Linked DNA regions of Cricetulus griseus. The protein of the gene in region 1 interacts with the protein of each later gene in a pairwise test. Links are inferred from orthologs where the notes say so. Each region holds a gene or a part of one and is shown on either strand. Other genes may lie near its edges.

Region 1 (15,568 bases):
AGGATTGTGTCTTACAGCACATTGCAATTCTGGAGGAGAGGTGTGGAGCAGCCGGGCACGGCTCCAAGCTGGGTTGAAGCAGAGAACCTCCTAATTATTTTCCTTTGGTACCTGTGGTTGGCAGGTACCTCCACAGCAGCGTGACAGAGAAACGAGGAAAGATTTCCCATCGAGTGAGATCCAGCGGCTACAGGAACAGAACGCGGGTCTGCGGAATGCTGTTGCACAGATGAGGAGAGAGATGGAGTTGCTGAGTGGCCATCTCCCTTCTGCTCACCCAGAAGAGTGCCCGGATGCAAACCCTGGTGCCAAGGCTGCCGGAGGCCCAGCCCTCCCAGGTGAGCAGGTGGAGATGGAGGGGAGGAGTTTAGAGGGGTATATGGTGGGCAGTGGGAGCAGGACAGGACAGGACAGGGAGAGGACCCCTAGACAGACTTCTCATTCCAGCCTCACACCCTCTAGAGATCTCTGCAGAGCAGGACAGTCGCTTGTCCTCCAAGAGAGAAACTTAAGTTTAGTACTGAACAATGTTTCTCTGGCGACATAGAGGAAAAAGTTCAGGGCACATACCTGACGAACCTGGCAAGCCGTAAGCCTAGGCAGAATGAGGCCAGGCATCAAGAGGAGCCTCCTGCAGTGGATCTGAGCTGGCAGCCCCACCTATGTCTTGTTCCTAGCAGGCTGCATGGCTGCTTCTAAAACCTGATCCCTGATGTGGAGTTGTTTCATCCATGCACAAAGCCTATGGGAGGCAGACAAGTTCTCACTCGGGGTCCCAGAACCTTCCTGTAAGATAACGGAAGCTAGGCTGAGCTGTGAAGGTGGATCCTGAGCGTTGAGGAGAGAGATCAGGGCAGAGGAGAGCCTTCGAGCCTGAAGCCTGGCATAGCAGGAGAAAGGGGTCTAAGTGTGCCAGTGAGTGTATGTTGTGTTCCCTGGGGTTTTGGCAGATCATTTTCTGGCTCTCGAAGCAGAAATTCAAAACCTAAAGCATAAACTTGAAGTCCTGGAAGAGCAGCGACAAGGTGTCAGAGAGCCAGTGAAGACATCCTTGCCCACTGATGATCCACACCCTGGTGAGAACCCCTGGCTATCTGTCCCAGTCCCAGTATGCCCTGTCCCAGTAACACTGACTATGAGAAAATTAAGATGCAGTCCCTGAGGCAAGTCTTCCAAATGCATGCATAACTCCACAGTGTTCATCGCCATCAGACACTCTGTCTCCAGAACCAGGAGTCCCCTGGAAGTCCCTAGGGTTAGGTGGGAGTTCTGTTTCCTCGTGTAAGTAGAATTATGTGCATTTGTCTGTTGTCTTTTGGCCTAAATTGTGTTTTAGTGGACAATGCCCGACTTCACAGTGCTGTGCCATTCACCCTCCGTTAGCAGTTTGCAGGACAGCCCTTCAATGTCATAATCTTTCTTCCTGGTTAGCATCCTCGAGGCTGTGTGGCACACCCTGTCACAGTGTGAACTTGCAGTCTCCAGTGCATTGGTGAGCATGAACATCTTTCCTGGGCTTCTGGAATCCTCATCTGCCCTGGCTGTCATGGTGAATGTATTAGTTACTTTTCTGTTCATGAATTAGGCAACTTACAGAAGGACACATTTATTGTGACTTGCAGTCACAAGAGGGTTAGAGTCTATAAAGACAGGGCTAAGGCAACAGACAGGCATGGCAACTGGAAAAGGGTACTGAGAACTTACATCTCGAACCCCAGCACAAAGCAGATGGAGGGTGAACTGAAAATGGTGTGGTGTTTTTGGCCTCCAGCCACATGCCTCCTCCAACGAGGCCATATCTCCCAAACCTGCCTAAACAGTGCCACTGACTGGGGATCAAGTGTTTGAGCATCTGAGCCTGTGAGGGACATTGTCATCCAGACCTCTACAGTGAGATACTCCAGACCAGCATCTGAGCCTGTGAGGGACATTGTCATTCAGACCTCTACAGTGAGATACTCCAGACCAGCCTAAAAAAGAAAGGTTGGTGGCCACGTGTGGCCTCTGAGAGACCCTGGAGTTCTGAGCAGCAATCAACTGTCAAGTCCCAGACTTTTGTCCCTGGGCTCCTCAGGGCTTTCCACAGATTTCTATCCACAGGCCCTGCCTAGGAGTGTTCTGCCCTTGGTGCAGAGCTGATGTTGGGAGTGGGGCAGGAGCACAGAAGACAGGCACCTTTCCTGGAACAGGCTTGCCTTGGGCCTTCTTTCCATTCTTCAGTGGGAAGCAGTGTGTGCGTGTGTGTGGTGCAGTGTGCTCCCCCCTCGTACCTGAGCAGGGGAAGGATGGGAACTCATGTGGGTCATCCCAGGGCCCCCGTCCCTCGCCAGAGCCTTCTTTGTGCCAGGTTGTCATTAGTGAGAAAACAGGGTGGGATGCAGTCTCTGCTCTGTCACACCATCCTTTCCTGGGAAGGGCCCAGAAACTGGTGCGGCTTCCTGATGGCTGCTGCACCTGGCTTGCCAGGGCTTCATGGAGAACTGCCAGATTTGTGGTCAGAAGTAAGATGGGCTTGTCATTTCATTTCCTTTTTGTAATGATCAGGTCACAGTTTGGGGCCAGGGTTACTCTGGCCTTAGAGCTATGAGTGTTCAGACAATTAAACATTTGTAGAATTCTTCTCTGAAATCCCCAGGGCCCAGAATTTTTCTTTGGGAAGGTTTGAAGTTTAATTTATTTATTTGTTGTTAAGGGGCTGTTTATATACATTGTTTTATTTTTTTGTTTTTTGTTTTTGTTGTTGTTGTTGTTGAGACAGGGTCTCTCTGTGTGGCCCTGGCTGACCTGGAACTCACTTTGTAGACCAGGCTGGCCTCACACCCAGATCCGCCTGCCTCTGCCTCCTGAGAGCTGGCACTAAAGGTGAGCGCCGTCACCGCATGGCCATATTTTCTTTTTATGTATGCTTGTTACATTATACTAAGATATTATCCATCTCCCCGAGTTTTCACACCTTTGGGGTGAAGTTTCTGATCCTATCGGTTTTGCTCGTTTGCTTCTTTGAGATGGTGGTGACCCTCCAGCCTCAGCTTCCTGAGTCTTAAATGTTGGGAAACATCTCCCCCATGCATCATAGCACAGTTTTTGTTTTAGTTCTCTTTTATTCTTTTTTTTTTTTTTTCTTTTTAAGAGACAGAGTTTCTCTGTGTAACAGCTTTGGCTGTCCTGGAACTCGATCTGTAGACCAGGCTGGTCTCGAACCCAGAAATCTGCCCACTTTCGGCCTCCTGAGTGCTGGGATTAAAGGCGTGTGCCACCATGCCTGTCATCTTTGCTTCTTTCTTGATATCATACTCTAGAGTGTAGAGTTATTTATTTCTTCACTTACTACCTTTACAAAAGCCAATCATTGGTTTTGTTTGTTAGTTTCTGTTTCCTCAGTATTTAATGTTAATTTTATTCTATCCTTCCTTCTAGATTCACACACTGATCTTTTATTTCTAAGATATGTACCTAATGCTATAAATGTCCTTTTTCTTTTTTTATACAGTGCTAGAATGGAACCTCGTGCCTGGCACACAGCGACCAGCTCTCTGCCTCTGAGCTCTAGCCATAGCCAGTTTAGGTTTTAGTGGGGATTTTTGTTTTTTGGTTTTTTTGTATTGTTTTGTTTTTACATGTATGGGTGTTTTGCCTACATGTGTGCCTGGTGACTGCAGAGGCTTAAAAGGGTGTCAGATTCTCTGGAACTGAAATTACAGATGATTGTGAACTGCCACGAGGGTGCTGGGAACCAAACCCTAGTCCTCTGGAAGAACAGAAAGTACTCTTTTTTTTTTTTCTTTTGGTTTTTTTGAGACAGAGGATAATGCCTCCCTTGGAAAATCACCTGCTGGCCTTGAACTCACCCTGCAGACTCCTGAGTAACTGGGATTTACAGTTGTGAGCCACCAGGCCTAGGTGCTGTGAGTTCCCTTGGAAGGATAGCTTTACATACATTCCTTAAAGTTGTTTTTACCATTCTGCTCAAAATAACTTGGACTATCAAGTGTCACTTCTTCTTTGCCCCAGGTGCTATGTGAGCATCATTTTTTTTCTTAATTTCCAAATAAATGTATTTAAGTGGGAAAACTGATCTGACATGGTAAGGCTGGGTTTCATCCTATAGTCCTGCTCTCTCTTCATAAGATTGCACTAAGTAGTGCATCTCTGATCTTTCTAGGGACCCAATCCTTTGATTCAGGGATGGACATATTTACCTGGAGGTCAGTTGGAAGCTTCAGTAGGCCTCCATGGGGAAGAAGGCTCAACTCCCCGGGGAGACTGTTTTTGTTTCTGAGGTCTGAGCTGAGAGCAACTGTTCTTATCTGCAGGGGCAGCTGTGACAGACCAGGCATGCATTGCATTAGCACTCAGAAAACTCGGAGACAGAGTACATCTCTTGAACTTGCTGGTGACACAGCTCAAAAAGAAGGTGAGATTAGCCCTTAACACTTAAGGTTGTGCAAGCAATCCTACTGAAGAACCGGTCCAGATGAGAGGTGCCAGGTGTGACCTCACTGACCTTGGGTGTTTTGGGTGTCTTCCCAACTTCTCTTTTCTTCAGAACAAAGGACTGTGCTGTGCAGTAGCTGGTTTATCTCATGTGTGGCTATGAATTATTCACAGGGAAGCCTGATATGGTAGGTGTCTGTAGTTCCAGCGCTCAGGAGGTAGTCAGGAGGATCAGGAATTCCAGGTCATCCATGGCTACAGACAGAGTTGGAGGCCAGCCTGAGACACATGAGACCCTTTCTCAAAACAGCAGCAACAACAACAAATGCACACACACATACACACCTACTCACACATGCACACATACATTTACACACACATTTCAATGCTGTAGACAAGTAATAAGAATTTAACTTAAAGCATTTTAATTTCTCTTTGATAACTAAAGACAGTTGGAATAAACTGGGTAAAATATTTACCTCCAGTCAGGTATGATGGTGCATGCCATTAATCGTAGCACTTGGGAGGTGGCGACAGGCAGATCTCTGTGAGTTTGAGGTCAGCCTGATCTACACCAGTTAAGTTCCACACCAGTCAAGGCTACATAATGAGATGCTGTCTAAATAAAAACAGGTTTACCTTCAAGTGTTTTCATTTTTTATTTAACAGTGTCTGATCACCTAATGGTCCCTTTGGTATATACAAATTAGTCACCAAAGTCTCTGGAGTAGAAGCATTCTTTTTTGTGTTGTTGTTTTTGTTTTTTTGGTTTTTTGTTTTTCGAGACAGGGTTTCTCTGTGGCTTTGGAGGCTGTCCATGAACTAGTTCCTGTAGATCAGGCTGGTCTCGAACTCACACAGATCTGCCTGCCTCTGCCTCCTGAGTGCTGGGACTAAAGGCGTGCACCACTACCGCCCAGCTCTTAGAAGCATTCTTTTAATGCCCTTCACCTAGACTGGGAAGCCAGACTACAAAGAAGTGTATTCCCCATCTGCCTAGTTCTCCTCCTACCTGGACCTATGGCCTGTAACTTCTCTTTCTGAGTTTCATTTCTGCCACAGCCACTTCTCCCACTGTCATTTATTTTTTTGAAGCATAGGTTCTCTTGTAGCCCAAACTGGCCTCACACTTGCTGAGAATGACCTTGAATCTCTGATCTTTCTGCCTCTATTTCCCGTGTGATGTTGGCATCTGAGCCCAGGGCTTCATGCACGCCAGGCAAGCACTCTGTCCACTGAAGTACGTTCCCAGCCCGTCACTCCCTTTTGCTGCCTCCCCCTCAAGATCACTTCCCTCTTATCTCCTTCTGCAAACATCACCACTCCCATTTTTTGGTCTTTTGAAATGGTCTCACTACATAACCCTGGCTGTCCTGGAACTCGCTTTATAGACCAGGCTGGCCTTGAACTCTCAGGGATCCACTTACCTTTACCTCCCAAGTGCTGGGATTAAAGGTATGGGCCACCTTGCCTGGCCTGTCATCCACCCTTTGGATAGAAAGGACTTCCTAGTCACCAGCAGTGTTCTAGAGGCAGTTGCATCTTCCTGGGAGCTAGGGCTCAGGATAGAGTTGTAACCTACTTTCATTCACAAATTCTCCCCAGTAAGCCTTCATGTCCAGATGGATTGCACAGAAGTGAAACACACCCTGTAGAGCCAGAGAAGGAACTAGCCATTGGCCTTGCTCCGCCCCTGCACCTCATACTCCTGTCCTTCCTGGGACAGTCCCCCCCCCCCCCCCCGACCTCTGCCTAACATTGCCTTCTGAACTGGTTGCCTAGCTGTGGCAGAAGCCCCTGGAGCCGGTCACTGTCCAGCATGAGCTCCCCGGTGAAGTGGACCAGGTGCACCTGGAGGTTGTGGAGCTGCAGAAGCAGGTGGCTGAGCTGAGGAAGCATGTCAAGGTGGCCGGGCCCCGAGGAGAGCCTGCATACACAGAGCAGCTGCAGAGAGAGGTGGGTGCTGGGCAGGCATGAATTTCCTCCCACCCTAGCCTGTAACATGCTTGCTGGCACGTGTTTGGGTTCCCGATCTGTGAGGCCAGATGTTGGTGTCCAGAGGTGACACCCCAGACACCTCCTCTTTTTACCCACGGTTTTCCTCTGTGAGCTCACACCTCTAGTTCTTTTTTTTGGCTGGCTGTACTATTGCTGGAATGGAGCCCATGCCCTCTTTGATTGAAAAAGTCTTCCTTAGGAAACACACTGTAGAGTATGCATATAGACAGGCCTGGGCTGACAGCTAAGAAGGCTCTATGCACAGACCCAACCTGCCTGTGAGAGAAGAGGCCACAGAGCACTCAACATCTGGCCAACACTATGGCCAGGGCTGAGACATGGTCAGCTGAATGTCCACCAAACCCTGCGACAGAGTCCTTGCTTCCCACTGAAGGCCCCAGTGGAACCATGGATAGGAAGGGCGACAGCCCTGTTCCCCTGCTGTGTCGCCGGGGCTCTGTGAGTCCTGCCGGAACCTGGGGTGATGTGTACTGACTTACAGTGACCTTCTGGCCCTGCACTGACCTGCTGTGATCTCCAGCGAGTGACCGGTGATATGACTCCCTGCCAATTGACTTGCAGTGACAATAGTGACTTATGGTCACCTTTGGCTATCTGTTCTGACCTATAATGGCTCATGGCCACCTGTGGTTACCAATGGTGACCTGTTAATCACCAGAGGTCATAGGCATTCAGCTGAAAAGTTGAAGATAGTATGTATCCTTGTGGCCCCATATTACATGTACAGGAGCATAGCAGATAGCCTCTGGTATGGTCTGTGTCTAAGAACAAGCAGAAAAAGAAACAGAACAGGGTTGGGGGCTGAGGGAGCCCGAGGTTCTAGCAAAAGACTGAACTGGCCAACATTGAAGTAATGAGCAGTACTCGTTCCCAAGGGTTCTTGCACCCAGCCCTCCCCAGGCCCTCAGACCTCCCCACAATCCAGCAGTCCAGGGGGAACAGGTAGGTCAGCACTAAATATACACACTAAATTTTAAATAGTGAGAGACTGGGTTAAAGCGGTAGACCCAGACCTTAGCAGTCGCATATGTAAAACACAATTTTCAGGTATCTCTGTTCCTGTTGGGTCTTGGTATCTATGATTTTGGTACACTGTGAGGTCATGGCTGGCAACCACTGCCCAGCAGCATGTCCCCTACCTGAACAAAGTGTTAGGTATGCAGGAGAGGCCAGGAAGTCCGTGCTTCCAAGGGAAGCTAGAGCCATGTAGTGATATGTAGAGAAATGGTTGAGACACACACTTGCCCATCCCCACTGTCCTGAGGGCCTTGCAGCCGCCAGCACCCATGTCCAAAGGTAGCTCTAGAATCTCTCGCTCTCTTCCTTTAACAATGCCAGTTCCACATGGATGTATGAGGAGGGTACAGATAGCAGCTGTGCGGGACTCCACCTGACCATCAAAGCCAGGAAAGACTGCAATCCATCTTCATAGGAAGTCCTAACGTGATCTGGTTCAAGTGACAGACACGTGAAGACAGGGAGGCCAGAAAGATGCTGCTGCCAAGCGTGAGGCCCCAAGCTCCATCTCTGGGACCTACATGGTAAAAGGAGAGAACCAACTTTACAGCTCATCCTCCACAATGTGCACACCATGACACGCACAGCAGCCTATCCGGACAGACAGCTGTAACACAAATGACTTAAAACAAGAAAATGTGAAGTGACTCCCCCACAGAACATTAGTGAGTAGACGAGACAGACAAGGCAGTTGAATGTAGGTGTGGAGCTTGAGGTAGATGCTTGCTGAGAGCCAAGGTACCCTAGCCTCCGTCACAGCGCTCCTCCCCCACCCAGTCGACCTTGATTGCAAGGTGAAAAAGTTCTTTCATTGTCGAAACCTAAGGACACCAGCTTGACCAACGTCAGCACCAGGACACTAGCATCTGTGCCTAAGTGGAACATACCCAAGACTCACTTTTGGGGTCCCACCAAAGCACAAAACCTGAACCTAAGGAAGAGGTGATCTCAGACAGAACCAGTGGAAGGACATCTACGGATTAGCCCCTCTGGACACCTCAAATGTCAGTGTCATAAAATAAAAGTGAAGCCTGGGGGCCGGGCGGTGGTAGCGCACACCTTTAATCCTAGCACTCAATTGGGAGGCAGAGGCAGGCGGATCTCTGTGAGTTCGAGACCAGCCTGGTCTACAAGAGCTAGTTCCAGGACAGCCTCCAAAGCCACAGGGAAACCCTGTCTCGAAAAACCAAAAAAAAAAAAAAAAAAAAAAAAAAAAAAGTGAAGCCTGGGAAATCTTCCAGCTATAGGCAAGGACACCTGCACATTCATACTCTGGGGGTCTTGGACCCTGGAAAGGGATCCAGCTTGGAGGGACGTGCTTGGGAGGCCAGGTGGGGTCACCAGGATCAGCAGTGTGCCACAGTCCTTGTGCAGGACTGCAGTGCCTACGTGGGAAGGCACACTGTCTCCCCGCCTCCCTCCCCCCACCCCCCCATGCTTCAGGAAGAGGCATGTGTACAGAGGTGGGCAGGGAGCGGGGCAATACCTTTCCCAAGGCAGAAGTCTGAGACAACCCCTCCAACTCACCTTTCAGCTTCTATCACAGGCTAGTCTTCAGCTGGCGGTGGTGGCACACACCTTTACCTCCAGCACTGTGGAGGCAGAGGCAGGTGGATCTCTGTGAGTTCAAGGCCAGCCTGGTCTACAGAGATAGATCCAGGACAGCCTTTGAAGTGATAGGAATCTCCTACTAGGCTAAGGTAGAACCTCCCTCCAGGTCATCCCACCTCTCTTAAGACCTGAGTTCCTTTGTATTCTAAGGCCCCTTGAGATGGGGAATGCTTGGGCCTCTAGTGTAGTAAGGCCAACACTCTCTGGGAGTATTGTGTACTTGCCTGTCTTGGTCCTGTAGGTCCATAGGACCTCCTCTAACCCAGAGTTCCTGCCTCTGCTGTGTCTTTCTGTGAGCCCTTCAATCCCTTGTGGCCTGCGGCATATGCCAGAAGCAGCTGGATGCAGTCACCTACAGGTGCAATCACCCACATTCTCCAGGCTACCTAGGGAACAGTAGCACCCAGAGGGCACAAGCACATGCCAGCTCTGGCAAGGACCAGGAAGCCAGAGCAGGCCATGCAGGGTGTTCCAGGGCATGGAGCTCTAGCACCCAGAATAATAGCAGTTGCCATGGCTTCTCAAAACTGTCAAGAAGAGGTGGGCCATGCTGGAGCCTGGTCTTCCCGATGCCCCTGTTCTCATCACATTGTGACTGGATTTCTGCAGTGTGTCCAGGCTGGGCTGAGTGAGGGGCACATGGAGCTTCCAAGGGGTTCATATCTGTTTAACCCTGGCATAGTGCACCTCCTCCCAGCAGCCTTTGCTTTCTCCTGTACTTTCTCAGGGAAGGGAGGCCTAACAGGCAGGTGGTGAAGGGGTGAGCCAGAGGGGAGATGAAAGAAGGGGAGAAGGAGGAGCATGCCAGCCCTTGGGCAATGGGGAAGGACATTAGGAAGGTCCAGTCAACACAGGCCAGAGGCAGCAGAGTGGGGCCCACAGCAGTGAGAAGTGGCTTGGCCACAGGGCCCTGTGACCACACAGGGCTCAGGCTTTCCAGGCCTAGGTTACTGCTAGAGGCTGATGGGAGGCCTTTCTTTCTTCTAGAGCAAAGCCAAATGCAGATGAGTGTAAATTCTCTTAGTCATCTCCACTTGAAAGACACAAAGCTCAGCAGGGACTCCTGGGGTAAAAGCTCTGGGCTTGCAGGGCGCAGGAGTAGGGAGGCTGAGAACTAGGCAACTCTCTCCCATCCCTGGGAGAGAAGTAGCTCACTGAAGTCTGCGTGCTGTTCCCAACCCCCAACTCAGTTAAAGCATGGGGCATAGTCACTCTTTTACCCCCAACTCAGTTAAAGCATGGGGCATAGTCACTCTTTCTTTTTCCCCCAACTCAGTTAAAGCATGGGACATAGTCACTCTTTCTTTTTCCCCCAACTCAGTTAAAGCATGGGGCATAGTCACTCTTTCTTTTCCCCCCAACTCAGTTAAAGCATGGGGCATAGTCACTCTTTCTTTTAGAAGGATGTCACCAGTGAGCCCCCTAGCCGTGGTGATTCTGAGAGGGCAAGTGAGCAGCTTGGTGGACCACATACCAAGCTTACCCCCCCCCCCAACTCCCGGCGTGGTCTCCAGCAGGCTCTCTGGAGTATCCCTCAGGACTGTGTCTTGGTTGGGTTTTGTGTACAGGGCCTGACTGACTGGAGACCCATGGTCACAATGGACCAGACAGAGTTCACTAGTCTCCCCCAGGAAGGGGCACAGCCTCCACAGACCCTATCTGTGCCACATCTGCAAAAGAAACTGAAAGATGCAGCTAGGAAAATACGCAGCCTCAGCCTAGAGAGGGAGCAGCTTCTGGAAATGGGGAACAGACTCCGAGCAGAGCTGGGCCATCCTAAAGGTAGGCACCTGGGAAAGGTGGTGGGCCAGGCCACAGTTGGGGTCGTGCCAATGGGGAGGGAAGGTGGTGCCATGGTTCTGCCTGCCACAGGAGGCCAAAAGAAAGGAGCTTCCTGGCTTGCTTGCCACAAGCCTGGGGCCAGAAGGAGAGCTACAGGCTGGCTTCACAGAGGCCACTGGTGGTGGAATGGAGCCAACCAGAGGCCTTAGGCACAGAGCAGGGCTTCATCTCAGCACTGGGTGTCCCTTGACCTACTGCTCTGGCCACATCTGGAAGAATCAGCCATGGAGCAGCTGAGGTCCTGTGAGGCAAGCAACAGGGCAGTTCCAGACCAGCCCACTGTGGGTGTCCCCAGATAGTACAGCATTGTCTATAGATACTCAGTTGATTTCCTACAAGAAACAAGTATTATTTGAGTCCCAGGATTTTTTGTTTGTTTGTTTGTTTGTTTGTTTGTTTGTTTGCTTTAAATGTAAAACAGATGGGTATAGTGACTTGTGCTTGTAATCCCAGCGCCCAAGAGGCTGAGACAGAAGGATCACAAAGTCCAGGCCAGCCTGGACTATGGTGTAAGACCCTCTCTTAAAATCAAATTAGGGCTAGATCTCAGTGCCCACTGCAGGACTGAGACCAAGACCAGCCAAGGCTCACAGCCCTGGGAATGGGAATATAAATATATAAATATAGGGATCCCCAAATAGTCCCTGTTACTACAGGCCAGGCAAAGCGGATATCCATTTGGGCTACCTTTTCCCTCTGTTTAATGCTGTCTCTCCCCCAAATCAGAGCCCAGCAATAGTCCCTGCCTCTTAAAATGCTGCCTCTTACCTTCCGTAACATCTGCCTTTGTTTATTTGTTTGAAGATTTGTTTTTATGTGCATTAGTGTTTTACCTACAAGTATTTCTGTGTGAGGGTGTCAGATCCCCTGGACCTGGAGTTACAGTTAGTTGTAAGCTGCCTTGTGGGTGCTGGGAATTGAACCTGGGCCCTCTGGAAGAGCAACCAGTGCTCTTAACCAATGAGCCTGGGTTTTGTTTTTTGAGACAAGGTCTCATATAGCTCAAGTTGGCCTCAAAAGAACTCCCTGTGTAGTCAAAAACAACTTGAGCTTCTGAGCCTCCTGCCTCCGCCTCCCAGGTACTGATGGGTTGCCAGCTTGAACTAACACACTCAATTTTCTGTTGGCTGAGGATCAAACCCAGGGCTTCACACATGCTAGGCAAGCATTGCACTAAGATACATCCCTAGACCTGGTACCTGAAGTTTTAATCCAGCACAAGGGAGACTAATGCAGGAACATTGTGAGTTCAAGACCAGACTGTGCTACAGAGTGAGACCCTTATATAAAAAACTAAATCAAGGGATTGGAGCTATGGCTCCACATTTAAGAGCACTTGTTGCTCTTGCAGAGAGCCTGGGTTTGGTTCTAGCCCCCACTTGGTGTCTTACAACTATCTATGACTTCAGTTCTGGGATATCCAACACCCTCTTCTGACCCCATAAGCACCAGGTATGCGTGTGCACACATGCAGGCAAACCACTCATACACATAAAAATAAAATAAAAAAATAAATCTAGGTTTAAAAAAAAAAACAAGAATTACAAGAAAACAAAAATGAGCATCTGGGGCTAATCCACATTTGGGTGACGATGCCAGCGCCTCTTTGTATATGCTCACTTTTTCCAGTTCACCACGTGCACGCCATGCATGTTTGCACTCAGCTCACACCCTCATCCATAGACTTCCAGGTACATGGTGTGCACACAGCCTGCTTTTCCTCCAACAGAGCACGCTGTGCCTCTGGAGTCATTAGCAAGCTGATTCCTAGAAGAGAGGGGACAATGGCAGCATTGATTTCTTCCTCCTTCCGGTGGCCTGTTGGTGGCGTCTGCCAGCAGCTTAGTGTCTGTCTCCCACAGACTGCTCTCTGCCATCCTCTATGAAGCTATGAAGTGCTGGAAGATGCTCACAGCAGAGGATTAGAGTCCCCTTTGACCACAGCCCCACAAAAAGTAAATGTTCACTAGAAGATCGCGATAAGGAAAACCTCTCATTGTTTATTATGTTGTTTACTTCTGGTTTGTATGCCAAGTATCAAACCCAGGGCCTTATGCATGCCGGTCACGTGCTCTACCACTGAGCTGCATCCCTCCCCAGCCTTGCCGGTGAGAATTTTTTTTTTAAAGATTTATTTATTTATTATGTATACAGTGTTCTGTCTGCCTGCACGACAGAAGAGGGTACCAGATCTCATTACAGATGGTTGTGAGCCACCATGTGGTTGCTGGGAATTGAACTCAGGACCTCTGGAAGAGCAGCCAGAGCTCTTAACCTCTGAGCCATCTCTCCAGCCCCGCCGATGAGAATTTGATTCATCATGAATGGTTTGGGGAAAACCTACCTTGCTAGTGGCCTATGGCGTCCTATGATACCTGCTTATGATCCCAGCACTCAGAAGGCCCAGGCAGGAAGATCATGAGTTCAAGACCAGCCACAATCAAAAGTAAAATAGAAGACGACTGGGGCCCCAATTAGCCTCCCCTGTGGTTACAGTTGCTGTGGTTCTGCTCTCCAGAGCTCGTGTACACAAGCTGTCAGGTCTGTGTGCTTAGTAATCACAGTGGCACACGCATCCAGAAGCCTACTGCCAAAATACATTAATTGTGAAGGAATAGCTTTAGCAGGAAGTTCACCTGATGAACCGATTGTATGAACTGTTATAACCCTGCTGCTGTGCATCTCTGGGCCCTGGCAGCAGCAGTCGTCTTCACTTGGCACCCTCAGACCCCACTAATGGCCCCTGCACCTCCTTTGGAGGAGACCTGAATTGCATTTCACCCTCTGAGGCTTTTCTTTTAGCTGTTCCTTTAGCAAAAACTTGTGGGCAAAGCCTTCATCAGATCTCCATGTCTGAAAGGTGCCCTGGTGTAGCAGCTGCCTAGAGCCACGGCTGACCTGGAGCTAGAACTCTCAGTTTGCTTTTGTTTTTGAGACAGGCAGGGTCTCACTGTGTAGCCCAGGCTGGCCTCAGCCCCCCATGTGCTAGAATCACAGATATGTAAGCCAAACCTGGTTTCTACAGTCTGATTTTAGAGAAGTTTCTCACGTCTCCTAAACATATAGTCAGCTACCAGTCTGGTCTTGGCTCCTTGGTGAAGGGCATGTTCTACAGGATACATTGCTTTGTTTTGATCTTTTTGTTTGTTTGTTTTTTGTTTTTCCGAGCCAGGGTTTCTCTTTATTACTTTGGAGCCTGTCCTGGAACTTGCTCCATAGACCAGGCTGGCTTTAAACTCACAGCATGGGGAAACAAGGCCCCAGGCCACTCAGGCCTTGTCCTTAAACGGCATCCATGCCTCTTAGCAAAGGCCGTGAACGCTGCAGCTATAAACATAAGTGACCCTGCTATAGTGGTGCACGCCTTTAGCCCCAGCACTCAGGAGGCAGAGGCAGGCGGATCTCTGAGTTCGAGACCAGCCTGATCTACACAGAGAAAGCTCCAGGTAGCCAGGGATGCATAGTGAGGCCCCCTCTCATGTCAGTCATCACCATCTTTATGTCAGGCCAGGTGTCATAGCTCGTGGGAGACTAAGACAGGAGACAGATAACTGTGGGCCATCCTGGCCTACAGAGCAAGACCTGTTTCAAAACAAAATAAAACAAAAAAAGCTCAAAGATGTTTAGGTTAACTTAGAAAAACAAGTCAAATTAAATGAATAAATCAAATTATTCATCTGATTTCACTGTCATTTCTCAATGAAAGAACATAGAATCATTATGGCTATAACTTCTAAGTTTATACACATAAATTTTCCCTCTTTTGTTAAGGTTTTTTATTTTATGCATATGAGTGTTAAAGTTGCATGTGTATCTATGTACCATATTCGTGCCTGGTACTTAAAGAGGCCAAAAGAGGGTGTTGGAAGCACCAAAACTAGAGTTATACATGGTTTTGAGACACTGTGTGGGTGCTGGAACTGAACACAGGTTCTTTTTAAGAGCAACAAGTGTTCCAAATAGCTGAGCTGTCTCTCTTCAGCTCTCCCCCCCCACACACACCTTTTTAAAGGGCTTTGCTGTGTCATCCAGGCTGGCCTCATCTTCAGCACCCACAGCATCAGGGACAAGTGCGAGTGCGCGTGCTTGAGCGGAGGCCCTTCCGTATGTTGTGAATGTTTCTCTTATTGGTTGATGTGTAAAGCTATTTCCGCCGATGGACAGGAAGGATGTAGCAGGTAGGAAGTATAGTCTGCCAGACTATAATTGTGAGAAGAGGAACTCAGGGGGACGCCATGTAGCTGTCAAGAGAGCAAGAGATGCAGGTATCACCAGTAAGCCAAGACCATGTGGAGATACACAGATTAATAGAAATGAGTTAATAATTAAGAGAGAGCTAGACAATAAGAAGCCTGAGCCATTGGCCAGACAGTTTATAATTAATATAAGCCTCCATCCACAGACCCCTGCACAGGCACATGTGTTCCTTGATGCACTGCCCAGAGGCCTGTTTGAGTGACCGTTAGCAAAATACCTTCCTTCCACTGCTCTGTGCAGCTGTCCGAAGGTTAGTGTTCCGGGTTGGGATTAGGCTGGAAATTACACTGTGTGTCCCTGAGCTCTGCTAGGGGATGGTGTGTCACAATTCACACATGACCTCTGCTCCCAAGTTCTTTGGAGTAAAGGTTGCTTTGGTTTTGAAAAG
Region 2 (13,282 bases), on another chromosome or scaffold:
TGACCAAAGCAACTTGAGGAAGAAATGGTTTAGTTGGCTTACACTTCCTTATCATAGTTCATCATTGAAGGAAGTCAGGACAGGAATTCAAACAGGGCAGGAACATGGAGACATGAGCTGATGCAAAGGCCATGGAGGGGTGCTGGTTACTGGCTGGCTCATAATTGCTTGCTCAGCCCAATTTTTTTTTTAAAGATTTGTCTATTTATTATGTATACAACATTCTGCTTCCATGTATATCTACACACCAGAAGAGGACACCAGATCTCACAATGGATGGTTGTGAGCCACCATGTGGTTGCTGGGGATTGAACTCAGGACCTCTGGAAGAGCAGTCAGTGCTCTTAACCTCTGAGCCATCTCTCCAGCCCTTTTTTTGGTTTTTCAAGACAGGGTTTCTCTGTGGCTTTGGAGGCTGTCCTGGAACTAGCTCAAGAGCAGGTCTTGAACTCACAGCTGCTCAGCCCACTTTCTATAGAACCCAGGATCACCTTGACAGGGATAGCACTACACACAATGGGCTAGGCCTCCCTAATCAGAAACTAATTATGAAAATGTCCTATAGCTAGGCAGTGGTGGTACATGCCTTTAATCCCAGCACTTAGGAAGAAGAGGCAAGTGGATTTCTATGAGTTTGAGGCCAGGCTGGTCTACATAGTTCCAAGGCAGCCAGGGATGTTACACAGAGAAACCCTGTCTCAAAAATAAAAAGAAAGGGGGGTGAGGGGAGGGAGAGGGAGAGGAGACTTACATGTGAAACAAGCCTGTTCCCTAACTTGAATTAATAATAAAAAAGGGGGGGAAAGAAAAAAAAGGGAAAAGAAAAAAATAAAAAGAAAGGAAGGAAGGAAGGGAAAGAAGGAAGGAAGTAAAGAAAGAAAAAAAGAAAGAGGAAGAAAGAAAGAACGAAATTAAATGTCATATAGATGGATCTTATTAAGGCATTTTCTCAATTGAGGTTCCCTCTCAGGTTAACATTAGCTTGTATCAGCTGACATAAATATAGCCAAGACACTTATTCTTTCTAATTTATATTATTAAAAAGTTACTTCTAGGGCTGGAGAGATGGCTCAGAGGTTAAGAGCACTCACTGACTACTCTTCCAGAGGTCCTGAGTTCAATTCCCAGCAACTACATGGTGGCTCACAACCATCTGTAATGTAGTCAGGGATACATGATTCTTTTTAAAAAAAAAAAAAAAAAAAAAAAGTTACTTCTAGGGGCTGAAGAGCACTGGCTGATCTTCCAGAGGTCCTGAGTTAAAGTTCCAGCAACCACATGGTGGCTCTCAACCATATATAGTGGGTTCTGATGCCCTCTTCTGGCATAAAGGTGTACATGCAGATAGAGCATGAGCACACATAAAAAAATCTTAAAAAAAAGTAAAGTTACTTCTGAGTCAGATTGTGGCGGCACATGCCTTTAATCCTAGCACTCGGGAGGCAAAGACAGGCAGATCTCTGTGAGTTCAAGGCCAGCCTGGTCTACAGAGCAAGTTCCAGGACAGGCTCCAAAGCTACACAGAGAACCCCTATCACAAAAAGAAAAATTAAAAAAGAAAGGAAGGAAGGAAGGAAGGAAGAAAGGAAAGTTGTCCTCTACACTTGATATTCTTACAGAGAACCTGGGTTTGGTTCTTACCACCCACATAGTAGCTAACACCTGTAATTCCTGTTTTCAGGGGATTTGATATCCTATTCTGCCTTCTGAGAGCACCAGGAACACATGTAGTGCAGTCATACAAACATACAGGCAAAATGCTCCTACACACGAAAAAAGAAAATAAATCTTGCTGGGTGTTGGTGGCCCACGCCTTTAATCCCAGCACTCGGGAGCCAGAGGCAGGTGGATCTCTGTGAGTTCAAGGCCAGCCTGGTCTCCAGAGTGAGTGCCAGGATAGGCTCCAAAGCTACACAGAGAAACCCTGTCTCAAAAAACCAAAAAAAAAAAAAAAAAAAAAAAAAAAAAAAGCCCTCTAACCTTCACATAAATACACAGATAGATAGACAGACAGACAGACAGACAGACAGACAGACACACACACACACACACACACACACACACAAATAATGAAACAAAAACCTACCACCACATAAAAAAAAAAATAAAAAAAAAACCTACCACCACAAGTATTTGCAATTCGTTTTTGGTAGCGGTTAAATGCATAAATACATGTTTGATAGTGAATGCATCAAATCCAACAAAGCTCCACAGCTTCCTTTCCAAATGGCTGGCTACTCTAAATGTTTAGAAGTGAACTGTCTTTGAAGCTGGCTACTTTTGGTGTAATGTTTTCTAAATTCCTTTCTTGACAGTAAAGTTCTATTGTTGTTATTGTTACTGTTTTTTAAAACAGGGTCTCACTATGTGGTCCTGACTGGCATGGAACTGACTATGTAGACCAGGCTGGCCTCAAACCACATAGATGCAGCTGCTTCTGCCTCCTGACTGCTTGAAACAGCATGAGTCATCACACCTGGCCATAATACAATTAAAAAAAAAAAAAAAAGCAGCCGGAAGTGGTGGCACATGCCTTTAGTCCCAGCACTCAGGAGACAGAGGCAGGCAGATCTCTGTGAGTTCGAGGTCAGCCTGGTCTTCAAAGAAAGTCCCAGGACAGTCTCCAAACCTACAGAGAAACCCTGTCTCGAAAAAAACAAACAAACAAACAAAAAAAAAGAATAAGAAGAAGCAAGATATAACAGGCTCATTCTTCCAGCCCCAACAATGTTCTAGTATCTTTAATTTCCCTTGATATCTGTCATTAGCAGTCAAGAGAACTTAGTGTTCCCCCAAATTAATTTTTCTTTTTTTTTAATTTTTTCTTTTATGTCTATAAGTGTTCTGCATGTATCCCTGCAGGCCAGAGGAGGGCATCAGATCCTATTATAGATGGTTGTGAGCCACCATGTGGTTGCTGGGAATTGAACTCAGACCCTCTGGAGGAGCAGCCAGTGCTCTTAACCTCTGAGCCATCTCTCCAGCCCCAGATTAATTTTTCAGTTATCAATGTTACTATAAGAATCTTCATGCAGTTTTAAACTTTTTTTTAATTTTTAAAAATTACATTTATTGTTGGAGACATGGCTCAGTAGTTAAGAACACTAGCTAGTCTTCCAGGGGTCCTGAGTTCAGTTCCCAGCAACCACTTGATGGCTCACAACCATTTGTAATTAGATGTAGTGCCCTCATCTGGCCTGCAGGTATACATACAGGCAAAACACTGTATATATGATAAATAAATAAACCTTTTTTAAAAATTACATTTATTTGTTTGTTTGTGTCTAGAGGCTAGGGGACACCAAGGATTTCTGGCAATTCCAAAAGCTAAGAGAAAATTATAGAAGAGATCTTCCCTAACCATCAGAGAGAGGATGACCCTTAACTTCATATTTCTGATCTCCAGAGTTGTGAGGGAATAAACGTATTATTGTTTGAAGCTACCAACTTGTCGGCAGATGGTTACAAAGCCACAGGAAACAATCACAAGCAATGAGACCAAGAGGTAAGACAATAATACACAATGTAGCTAAGCTAATGGGTGAATGTGACTTGCACTGAGTGACTGTGATTTGCAAAACTCCAGAAACATAAAGTCATCATCACGATTAAGACCATAATGAAAACAAGTAACAAGTGAACTATAAAAGATATTATTCATGCTGGGCGTTGGTGGCGCACGCCTTTAATCCCAGCACTCGGAAGCAGAGGCAGGTGGATCTCTGTGAGTTCGAGACCAGCCTGGTCTACAAGAGCAAGTGCCAGGATAGGCTCCAAAGCCGCAGAGAAACCCTGTCTCGAAAAACCAAAAAAAAAAAAGAGATATTATTCATGCCAGGCAAACTGTTTACTGATATCAAATCTACATTTAGGGCTGGAGATGGTTTTTATAGTGCTATCCTTTCATGAAAAGAATTCTAGATTTAATCATCAGCAGTGAAAAACAGAGCATGGTACCACATACCTGTAACCCCAGAGACAGGAGCAGCTCTTCAGGCTTTCCTCTTTTCTTAACATTTATTTACAAAAACAAAAATAAAAAACAAAAAACAAAAACAAACAGAAAAACGGGTGGTGATGGCACTTGGCTTTTATCCCAGCACTCATAGAAACCCTGTCTCTAAAAACAAAAGATTTATTTATTCTGTGTATATTAGTGGAAGAGGGTGTCAGATCCCCTGGAACTGGAGTTACAGGCAATTGTGAGCCACCGTGTGCATGCTGAGAACTGAACCTGAGTCCTCTACTAGAAAAATAAGTGCTCTTAAGTGTTGGGCCCTCTCTCCAGCCCCCAAATCACTGAAAGTTTGAGGCCAATCAGTCTATGTAGCAAAACCCTGTCTCAAAACAAATAAGATGTCCGGAACCTCACAGGTGAAATTTAAAAGTACTGGAAAGGCTAGGAGATAGGTTTATTCTCCACAGGGACATGAATTTGTTTCTAAGTTGAAATACACATAATATTAATTACAAAGACAGCCCAAGATAAAACAAGATTGCTAGATATTGGCTCACAGTTGCACATGCAGACTGACCTCATGAGATGGTAACAAAGGACAAACTGATCCTGAAATTCCACTACTAGTCATACACCAAAGAAAACTGAAATCATGTCCATACACAAGCTTATACAAAAATGTTCAGGGTCAAGCATGTTGACACACATCCCCATTATTAGCACTTGGGAGGCAGAGGCAGGAAGATCTCTGAATTCAAGACCAGCTTATGATTGATTCTAAGACAGCCAGGACTACATAGTGAGACCCTGTATCAGAAAAAAATTAAAAATTAAAAAAATAAAAATGCAATACTACTACATGCTTAAATACAGATAAGTCTTAACATCATACAGGGGGCTGGAGAGATGGCTCAGTGGTTAAGATCACTGACTGCTCTTCCAGAGGTCCTGCCTTCAATTCCCAGCAACCACATGGTGGCCCACAACCATCTATGAGATCTGGTCCCCTCTTCTGGCATTCAGCAAACTGGTAGTAGCCCTGGGGCAAACTATTTCCCACAGTTAACCAATTTCACATATATTTTTCTTTTGTTTTGTTTCAAGACATGGTTTCTCTGTGTAGCCCGTGTGTAGCTCTGGCTGTCCTGGAACTTGCTCGGTAGACCAGTCTGGTCTCGAACTCACAGAGATCCACCTGCCTCTGCCTCCCGAGTTCTGGGACTAATAGAGTGCACAACCACCATGCTGCGGTATTTTTAAAATTTTTAACTTAATCATTTTTATGTGTATGTATGTTTTGTCTGTGTACCACATATGTGTAGTGCCTAAGGCACACGGGCTACAATTAAGATGACATTTATAGCTAAGGTTCTATACTTTCTCTCAGCACTTTCATTGAACGACCAACTTTAACACAGCCACCTCATCAGGTATTTGTTGTCATTTTCCAGGGGGATGCTCAAGGTCATCGGCTAACAGGTGGCACGGGTGCCAGTGGCATTCAAGCCTCTATACACCTTCGGGAACTATACCAGAAGAGAATCCGTGGTACAAATGCAACGCGGGTTCAGCTCTCGACTTGGTCACTTGAGATCAGTGTACAAAAAGAGTCCGTCACCCAGGCACACCCCTGAATCCAATCTGGATCTAGGTAAGCCAATAAACTTTGTGCAGGCGGAAGATCACCCAGAAGAGCTCTCCACCAGGGGAGGAAGATGCACAGGCCCTGGAAAAGCAGCACGAGGGCAGCCAGGGCAAGGAGGGCACATTCCACGCACGCTCTGCTCGCTTTTCCACGCACAGACCAAAGCCTTGTGGATAGGCACCATTTCCTACACTTCTACAGGAGAAAGAGCCGTCACAGCGCCCAGCTCCCCCGCGCTCTGCTGGCTTTAAAGCAGGAGGACCAGCCATTCAAAGGCTGGGGGTGCTAGGCATGGCCTCGTACCTGACGGAGCCGACTCCTCAGAGGACGCCGGGAAGAGGTTGCAGTGAAGGCCAGCGGCCAGGGCTTTCGCGCCCAGCGCCGGCGTCCCCGCCCCACCGTCTCCACGGCGACGAGGCCCTGGCCGGAAGCTGCTCTGTGGAGTTTTGCGCGCGCTACCTCCTGGGCAACAGAGGCCTCTGGTTTCTCTCTGAGCTCTGCTTCCCACCATTCTCTTGGCCGGAAGTATGGGCGCTTCTTGGTTACTGGTCTCCAGTAACGCCTGCACGGAATGGCGAGGCACCGACAGGTGTCTGGCATGGGCGTGGTGGTGCACGTCGGTAATCTCCTCATCAGATCCGGCAATTGGTGGTGTATCTTTGAAGAGAAAAGACTAAGAGATTTCATATTAAAAACAAGGGAAACTATTTGGTGGGTGTGTGAAGATTAGAACCAAGGGGTGGGAGACATGGCTCAGCGGTTAGGAGCACTTTTTGCTCATCCAGATGCCCAGCACTCTCGGTGGCTTATAAAAAGGCGCTTTTTCTGCTGAGCCGTGGTGGTGCACGTCTTTAATTCTACCCGGGAGGCGAGTTCGAGGCCAGCCTGGTCTCCAGGGCAAGTGCCAGCACAGAGAAACCCTGTCTCGAAAAATATAAATAAATAAATAAATAAATAAATAAATAAATAAATAGAAGGCGTGCTCTCTTTTGACCCACATGCAGGCAAAACACTCATACTGAAATATTTTTAAAAGATTAAACTCACATAATACGGGGTTGTTTTTTTTTTTTTTGCCCTTTTTACAAATGGTGATTTTTGTAGTTCAAAATATTTTAAAATCATTTATTGATGGCAACCCTCTGTGAGAGGCTGAGCCAGGAGGAATGCACGCCTTTAATCCCAGCACTCGGCAGGCAGAGGCAGGTGGATCTCTCTGAGTTCGAGGCCAGCCTGGTCTCCAGAGAAAGTGCCAGGACAGGCTCCAAAGCTACACAGAGAAACCCTATCTCGAAAAAAAAACAAAAAAAAAAAAAAAAGAAGAAGAAAAAAATCAGTTTCAGTACAGCCTGGGCTTGAGTGAGACTATATGAATAACAAGCAAATAAATAGTATTTAAATACAGTTGACTGAAGTGGCTCAGCAGGTAAAGGCACCTGTCACTAAGCCTTAGGACCTTAGCTCAATCCCCAGGACTTGTATAGCAGAAAAGAACTTGCTGTCAAAAGTAATCCTTTGACCTCTAGCCATGAGCCATGCACACACACATACACACACACACACACACACACACACACACACACACACACGTAAATAAAGATAATAGGAACATAAATCCGGCCTGCCAGTGCATGCCTGTACTCCCTAGCTATTCAGGAAGCCTAGCCAGGAAAAATTACAAATTTTAAGACCACTGTCTGAAATTCGGGTTTTTTTGTTTGTTTTGGTTTTTTGTTTTGTTTTGTTTTTTTTCGAGACAGGATTTCTCTGTGGCTTTGGAGGCTGTCCTGGAACTAGCTCTTGTAGACCAGGCTGGTCTCGAACTCTCAGAGATCCGCCTGCCTCTGCCTGCCGAGTGCTGGGATTAAAGGCATGTGTCACCAGTGCCTGGCCACTGTCTGAAATTTGTAAAGACCTGTTTCAAAAATAAAACAACTTGGCTAGATATGGTGGCACACACCTTTAATCCCAATACTGAAGAGGCAACAGGTGAAGGTGGGTTCTAAGCTAACCCAGTCTACATAGAGAATTCCAGGCAACCCAAGACTAAAAAGCAAGACTTTGTTTCAAAAGAACCAACAAAGGGGCTGGAGAGACGGCTTTTTGGTTAAAAACACTGACTGTTCTTCTAGAGGACCTAGGTTCAATTCCTATCACCTATATGGCAGCTCCCCTGGAACTGTCTATAATTCCAGTTCCAGGGGTCAAACAACAAAGTGTTTTTTAGAAAAAGAAAGGCAACAAAATAAAGTTACATTTTAGAGAAAACCAACCTTTTAACTCACCGGAAGTTACACCTTGAAGTACTGCTAAAGTAGTTAGTTTTTTTTTTTTTTTTTTTTTTTTTGGTTTTAGGAGACAGGGTTTCTCTGTGTAGCTTTAAAGCCTGTTCTGGAACTCACTCTGTATACCAGGCTGGCCTTGAACTCACAGAGATCTGCCTGCCTCTGCCTCCCCCAGTGCTGGGATCAAAGGTGGGCACCACCAAAGCCTGACCTCAGTTTTTGTTGTTTTGTTTTTGAGACAGGGGTTTCTCTGTGCTGAGATTAAAGGCAGGCGTGCGCCACCAACACCCGGCTTCAGTACCTGTCTTTTTTAAGATTTTATTTATTTATTATGTATACAACATTCTGCTTCCGTGTACATCTGCACACCAGAAGAGGGCACCAGATCTTATAACGGATGGTTGGGAGCCACCATGTGGTTGCTGGGAATTGAACTCAGGACCTCTGGAAGAGCAGTCAATGCTCTTAAGCGCTGAGCCATCTCTCCAGCCCCAGTACCTGTCTTTTAATATGTTTTTATGTGCATGTGCCTGGTAGGGGAAATTTTGTGTGAGTGCAGGTGCCCTGAAAATACAAGGCATTGGATACCCTGGAGCTGGAGCTATATAGGTGGTTACAAGCTGCTTAAAGTGGGTGCTGGGAATGGAATCTGAGTCATGTGCAAGAGCGGTAAGTGCTGAGCAACCTCTTCAGCCCCTAAGCCTACCCTCTGAGTTTGAGCTGATTTGCTGATGCTTTCTTCCCATTGTGTGCATTCATCACCCTCAGCTGTGACAAATGACAAACTGAAGCATCAGGCAGTATTTTTGTGTGAGTTACAGAAAGCCATTGGTCCTTTCAGGAAGAAGATACAGTGTATTTTACTTTTCTTTTCTATTGCTGAGATAACAGTGGGGAGACCAGACCTACCCAAGACTATCTTAGAGGCTATGATGAAAGGATAAAGAAAATTTAGTTCTGTGTCCTTGTCCAGGAACATACTTGCAAGGCCTGTCTGATGCCTCTTAAGAGTCAAGGCTGTGGTTTCTGATGATTCAACTCTTCTCCCTGGACTGTGGTTATCAGTCCTGAGTTGTGTCAGAGGTATCCTATGTTGTCTTTGCCAACATGTGTGACTTAGCTCTCTGCTGGACCTTAGCCATTCCTCCCAATCCCCATAAATAGTATATATGATGCTGTGCTACTTAATAAACTTCCTTGGCATAAATTATCAGTTCATAGCCTGGCCTTGGTGGCACACGCCTTTAATTCCAGCAGTTGAAAGGCAGAGGCAGGCAGATCTCTGTGAGTTCAAGGCCAGCCTGGTCTACAGAGCTAGTTCCAGGACAACCTCCAAAGCCACAGAGAAAACCCTGTCTCAAAAAAAACAAAATAAATCAATCATCAGCTCATTCAAGACCTCCTGGTTCCAGCTATTGCTTTTGTCTTCATTATTTCACATCCCTGGTCCTCTTACTCAACAGTTTGTTGCTTGTGCTCCTTATTCCTGGATTAAAACATCACATCCAGCTGGGTGGTGGTGGCACATGCCTTTAATCCCAGTACTTGGGAGGCAGAGGCAGGTGGATCTCTTCGAGTTCAAGGCCAGCCTGATCTACAATTCAAGTTCCAGATCCTGTCTCAAAAACAAACAAAGCCCCCAAAACCAAAAACCACCAGATCCAAGACAACTTATAGATGGGTTTATTGGGGTTTACAGTGCTAGAGGGATAGGAGATCATCGTGTGGGGAGCAAAGTGGCAGGCAGCAAGCAGGCATGGATGGCACTGGGACAGCAGCTGAGAGTTCACATCTTGATCTGCATGCAGGAGCCAGAGAGGGCACACTGGAAGGTGCCAGTCTTTTTAATCCTCAAACCTGGCCCAGTGACACACCTCTTCCAACAAGGCCACACCTCCTAATCCTTCCCAACCAGCCCCACCAACACGGGATGAGCCTTTGTGGTCCATTCTCATTCAAACCACCACATATAGCAATAATAACTAGTACAGACTTCTTGGTGTCTATCACTTCATGAAGTATTTTTCTTGTATAAAACCAAAGTTGTAATTAGGCCTAGGGTAAATATTTATTTATTTATTTATCTTTGGTTTTTTCCAGACAGGGTTTCTCTGTATTGCTTTGGAGACTATCCTGGAACTCGCTCTGTAGACCAGGCTGGCCTCGAACTCACAGAGATCCCTGTGCCTCTGCCTCCCTAGCGTTGGGATTAAAGGCATGAGCCACCAACGCCCAGTTTGGGGTAAATATCTTTTTGTTTGTTTGTTTTCTGAGACAAGGTTTCTCTGTGGCTTTGGAGGCTGTCCTGTAACTAGCTCTTATAGACCAGGCTGGTCTCGAACTCACAGAGATCCACCTGCCTCTGCCTCCCGAGTGCTGGGATTAAAGGCGTGTGCCACCAACGCCCGGCTGGGGTAAATATCTTTAATCCCAGGACTCAGGAAGCAGTAGTGGCACTCTCCCAGCACTTGGGAGGCAGGCAGATCTCTGGGAGGACAGCCAAAGTGGTTACACAGAGAAACCCTGTCTCAAAAAAATAGCAACAAAGAAACAGGCTTAGCAAGTGCCTAACTTTTTCACAGAGGTGGAAGTTTACAGGTGCCCTTCCTTAGCAAAATTTTACCTTTAATCCTAAATTGTAATTGTCTTCTTTTTTACAAACTAAAACAAAGCCTTTAAAACAGGCTGGACGTGGACCTGGGTGGCTGTGGTACACACCTTTAATCCCAGTACTCGGGAGGCAGAGACAGGTGGATCTCTGTGAGTTCCAGGCCAGCCTGGTCTACAGAGCGAGTTCCAGGACAACTTCCTAAAGCAATACAGAGAAACCCTGTCTCATAAAAAAGAGTAAGCCTAGGGAAAGATGGCTCAGTGGTTAAGAGCATTGGCTACTCTTCCAGAGGTCCAGAGTTCAATTCCCAGCAACCACATGGCGGCTCACCATCTCCTGAACTCTTCAAGCATGCAGGCAGAACACTGTATAGTTGTATATAATAAATACAAAACAAACAACTTAGGTGATTGATTCCAGGCACCAACCATGATAGCAACGATTCCTTAAGCACTGACATATGTGGTTTGTTGTACTTTTTAACACAAGTTGACACTTCTCCCATATAAAAGAAGTCAAGTCTTGTCCTCCTGAACATGATACAGTTTTTGTGAGTCCTTTTATAAGGAACAGAAAGTGTGATATAGCAAAAGTAACAATGCCTTCAAGGCCAGGTTAGGAAAAAAGGCAATGCAAAGCTGGCATGTGTGAGCACCTTCCTAGCATTTGCAAGGTCCTGGATTCAAGTGTCAGCATGGAAGAAAACAAAACAAAAACACACTGCAAATATCTAGACATCCATCCTTGAAATCTGAAGCCAAAGCCATATTAAGAGGCCATGATAGGGAGGTACAGAGATGGCTCAGCAGTTAAGAACACTTGTTCTTCTAGAGGACCCAAGTTCAGTTCCTAGCACCCACATGGTTGCTCAAAACCACTTGTAACTCCAGTTCCAGGGGATCTGATGCCCTCCTCTGGCCTCTGAGGGCACCATGCATACATGTGGTGCACATACATAATAAAAAGGCCATTTAGGGGTGGGAGAGATTACCCAGAAGTTCTTGCAGAGGACTGGGGTGCAGCTCCTAGCATCCACATGTTGACTCCATCTGCAACTCCAGTTCAAGTTGAGTCACCTAACTTTTAAGGGTTCTGGGTATATACATACATGAAACACACTCAAATATACACATAAAATACACATTTTTAAAGAATAAAAAGGATAATTAAAATAAAAAGGACATGTGTGTTTCAAAGCTCCAGTAGCCACAGCTGACAGCACCTTCAGTTCCCAAGCACGTGAATAGTGAATAAAGGGTCCTTTAAGGGGGTTTTAGTTCCTGGCCTTTAGGCCATCATCAGGTGATGCTGAATGAATCAAGAGCAGCTGATGGTACCCATCCAATTTATAAAGTTGGGAGCCAAATACTGGCTTAATCCTTTGGTTTTGGGTAGGGCTTTTTGTTGTTTTTGTTTTTTGTGGTTGCTAGGGATCAAACTGGGGACCTTGCACATATTAAGTTAGTACTCTACAACTGAGCTATATCCTCAGTCCCTATTTTTTTTTCTTATTTGCTTATTTTTATGTTCATTAAATTTTATGTGGATTAGTGGTTTACCTGTATGTATATAGTGCACTACAAGTATGCCTAGTGTCTTCGGAGGCCAGAAGGTATCTCTCCTGGAACTGGAGTTACAAAAGGAGTGAAGCATGTTCATGCTTGAAATCAACCCTGATCCTCAGCAAGAGCAGCCTATGCTCTTAAATGCTGGGCCATTTCTCCAGGCCCTGCTTTTTATTTTTTGAGACAGTCTCACTATGTAGCCCTGGCTAGCCTAGTACTATGTAGACCATACTATCCTGCAGCTCATAGATATATCTGTTTCCTGAATGTTGCAATTACAGTCTTGTGCCACCATGTCCAGCCCTAGTCCCAACTCATTTTAATGTCACATCTAATTACTTCTACAAAACAGAGAAGTAGGAACTTTGATTGCTTTCTAACAGGTGAAACCAATGTTTAGGATGGTGAAATACACTCAGATTTCACTAAATGAAAGTGTCACTTGGTAACTTTGGGAAAATAATTTATTGGGCTAGGAATGTTGCTCAGTTTTTAAGAGTACTTTCCGCTGGGTGGTGGTGGCACATGCCTTTAATCCCAGCACTCAGGAGGCAGAGGCAGGCGGATCTCTGTGAGTTTGAGACCAGCCTGGTGTACAAAGGCTAGTTCCAGGACAGCCTCCAAAGCCACAGAGAAGCCCTGTCTCAAAAAACAAAAACAAAACAAAACAAAAGTACTTTCCTAGCATTGACTAGGATTCTGAAAACTGAATAACTCAGGTAAAGTCTTGGCACCAAGCATGCCTGAGATCTGGGTCTCTAAGTCAACACCTGGGAGTGGGTGCCTTCTGTACTCCATAACAAGAGGATTACTCCTATTTCTCTCAGCTTTAAGAATGTAGATCCCAGCTGAGCAGTAGTGGTGCCTCCCTTTAATCCAAGCACATGGGAGGCAGAAGCAGGGGTATCTCTGTGAGTTCAAGACCAGCCTACAGAACAAGTTCCAGGACAGCCAGGGCTACACATAGAAACCCTGTCTCGGGCTGGAGAGATGGCTCAGTGAATAAGAGCACTGGATGTTCTCCCAGAGGTCCTGAGTTCAATTCCCAGCAACCACATGGTGGCTCACAACCATCTGTAATCAGGACTGGTAACCTCTTCTGGTCTGCAGGGATACATGCAGACAGAACACTGTATAAATAAATAAATTTAAATTTAAAAAAGTCATTGAAAAAGAAACCCTGTTTCAGGGGGAAAAAGAAAGAAAAGCAACTATTGT

Evidence for each region.
Region 2: the proteins of Ccdc57 (region 1) and protein SFI1 homolog interact in a two-hybrid assay, tested with the Homo sapiens proteins (2 studies listed by BioGRID). The two-hybrid records come from large-scale screens. The link is inferred for Cricetulus griseus from reciprocal best matches to the Homo sapiens genes CCDC57 and SFI1.

What each region holds. Positions count from the first base shown.
Region 1 is NC_048600.1:133,352,341-133,367,908, reverse strand, and holds part of Ccdc57 (coiled-coil domain-containing protein 57), read left to right. Parts: intron 1-124; coding exon 125-338; intron 339-950; coding exon 951-1,076; intron 1,077-4,313; coding exon 4,314-4,414; intron 4,415-6,216; coding exon 6,217-6,390; intron 6,391-7,791; coding exon of another isoform or gene 7,792-7,809; exon of another isoform or gene 7,810-8,533; intron 8,534-10,649; coding exon 10,650-10,863; intron 10,864-15,325; exon of another isoform or gene 15,326-15,430; intron 15,431-15,568. UniProt on the Homo sapiens protein: Pleiotropic regulator of centriole duplication, mitosis, and ciliogenesis. Critical interface between centrosome and microtubule-mediated cellular processes. Centriole duplication protein required for recruitment of CEP63, CEP152, and PLK4 to the centrosome.
Region 2 is NW_023276807.1:101,721,318-101,734,599, reverse strand, and holds the start of protein SFI1 homolog, read right to left. Parts: upstream 6,452-13,282; 5' UTR 5,907-6,451; intron 1-5,906. UniProt on the Homo sapiens protein: Plays a role in the dynamic structure of centrosome-associated contractile fibers via its interaction with CETN2.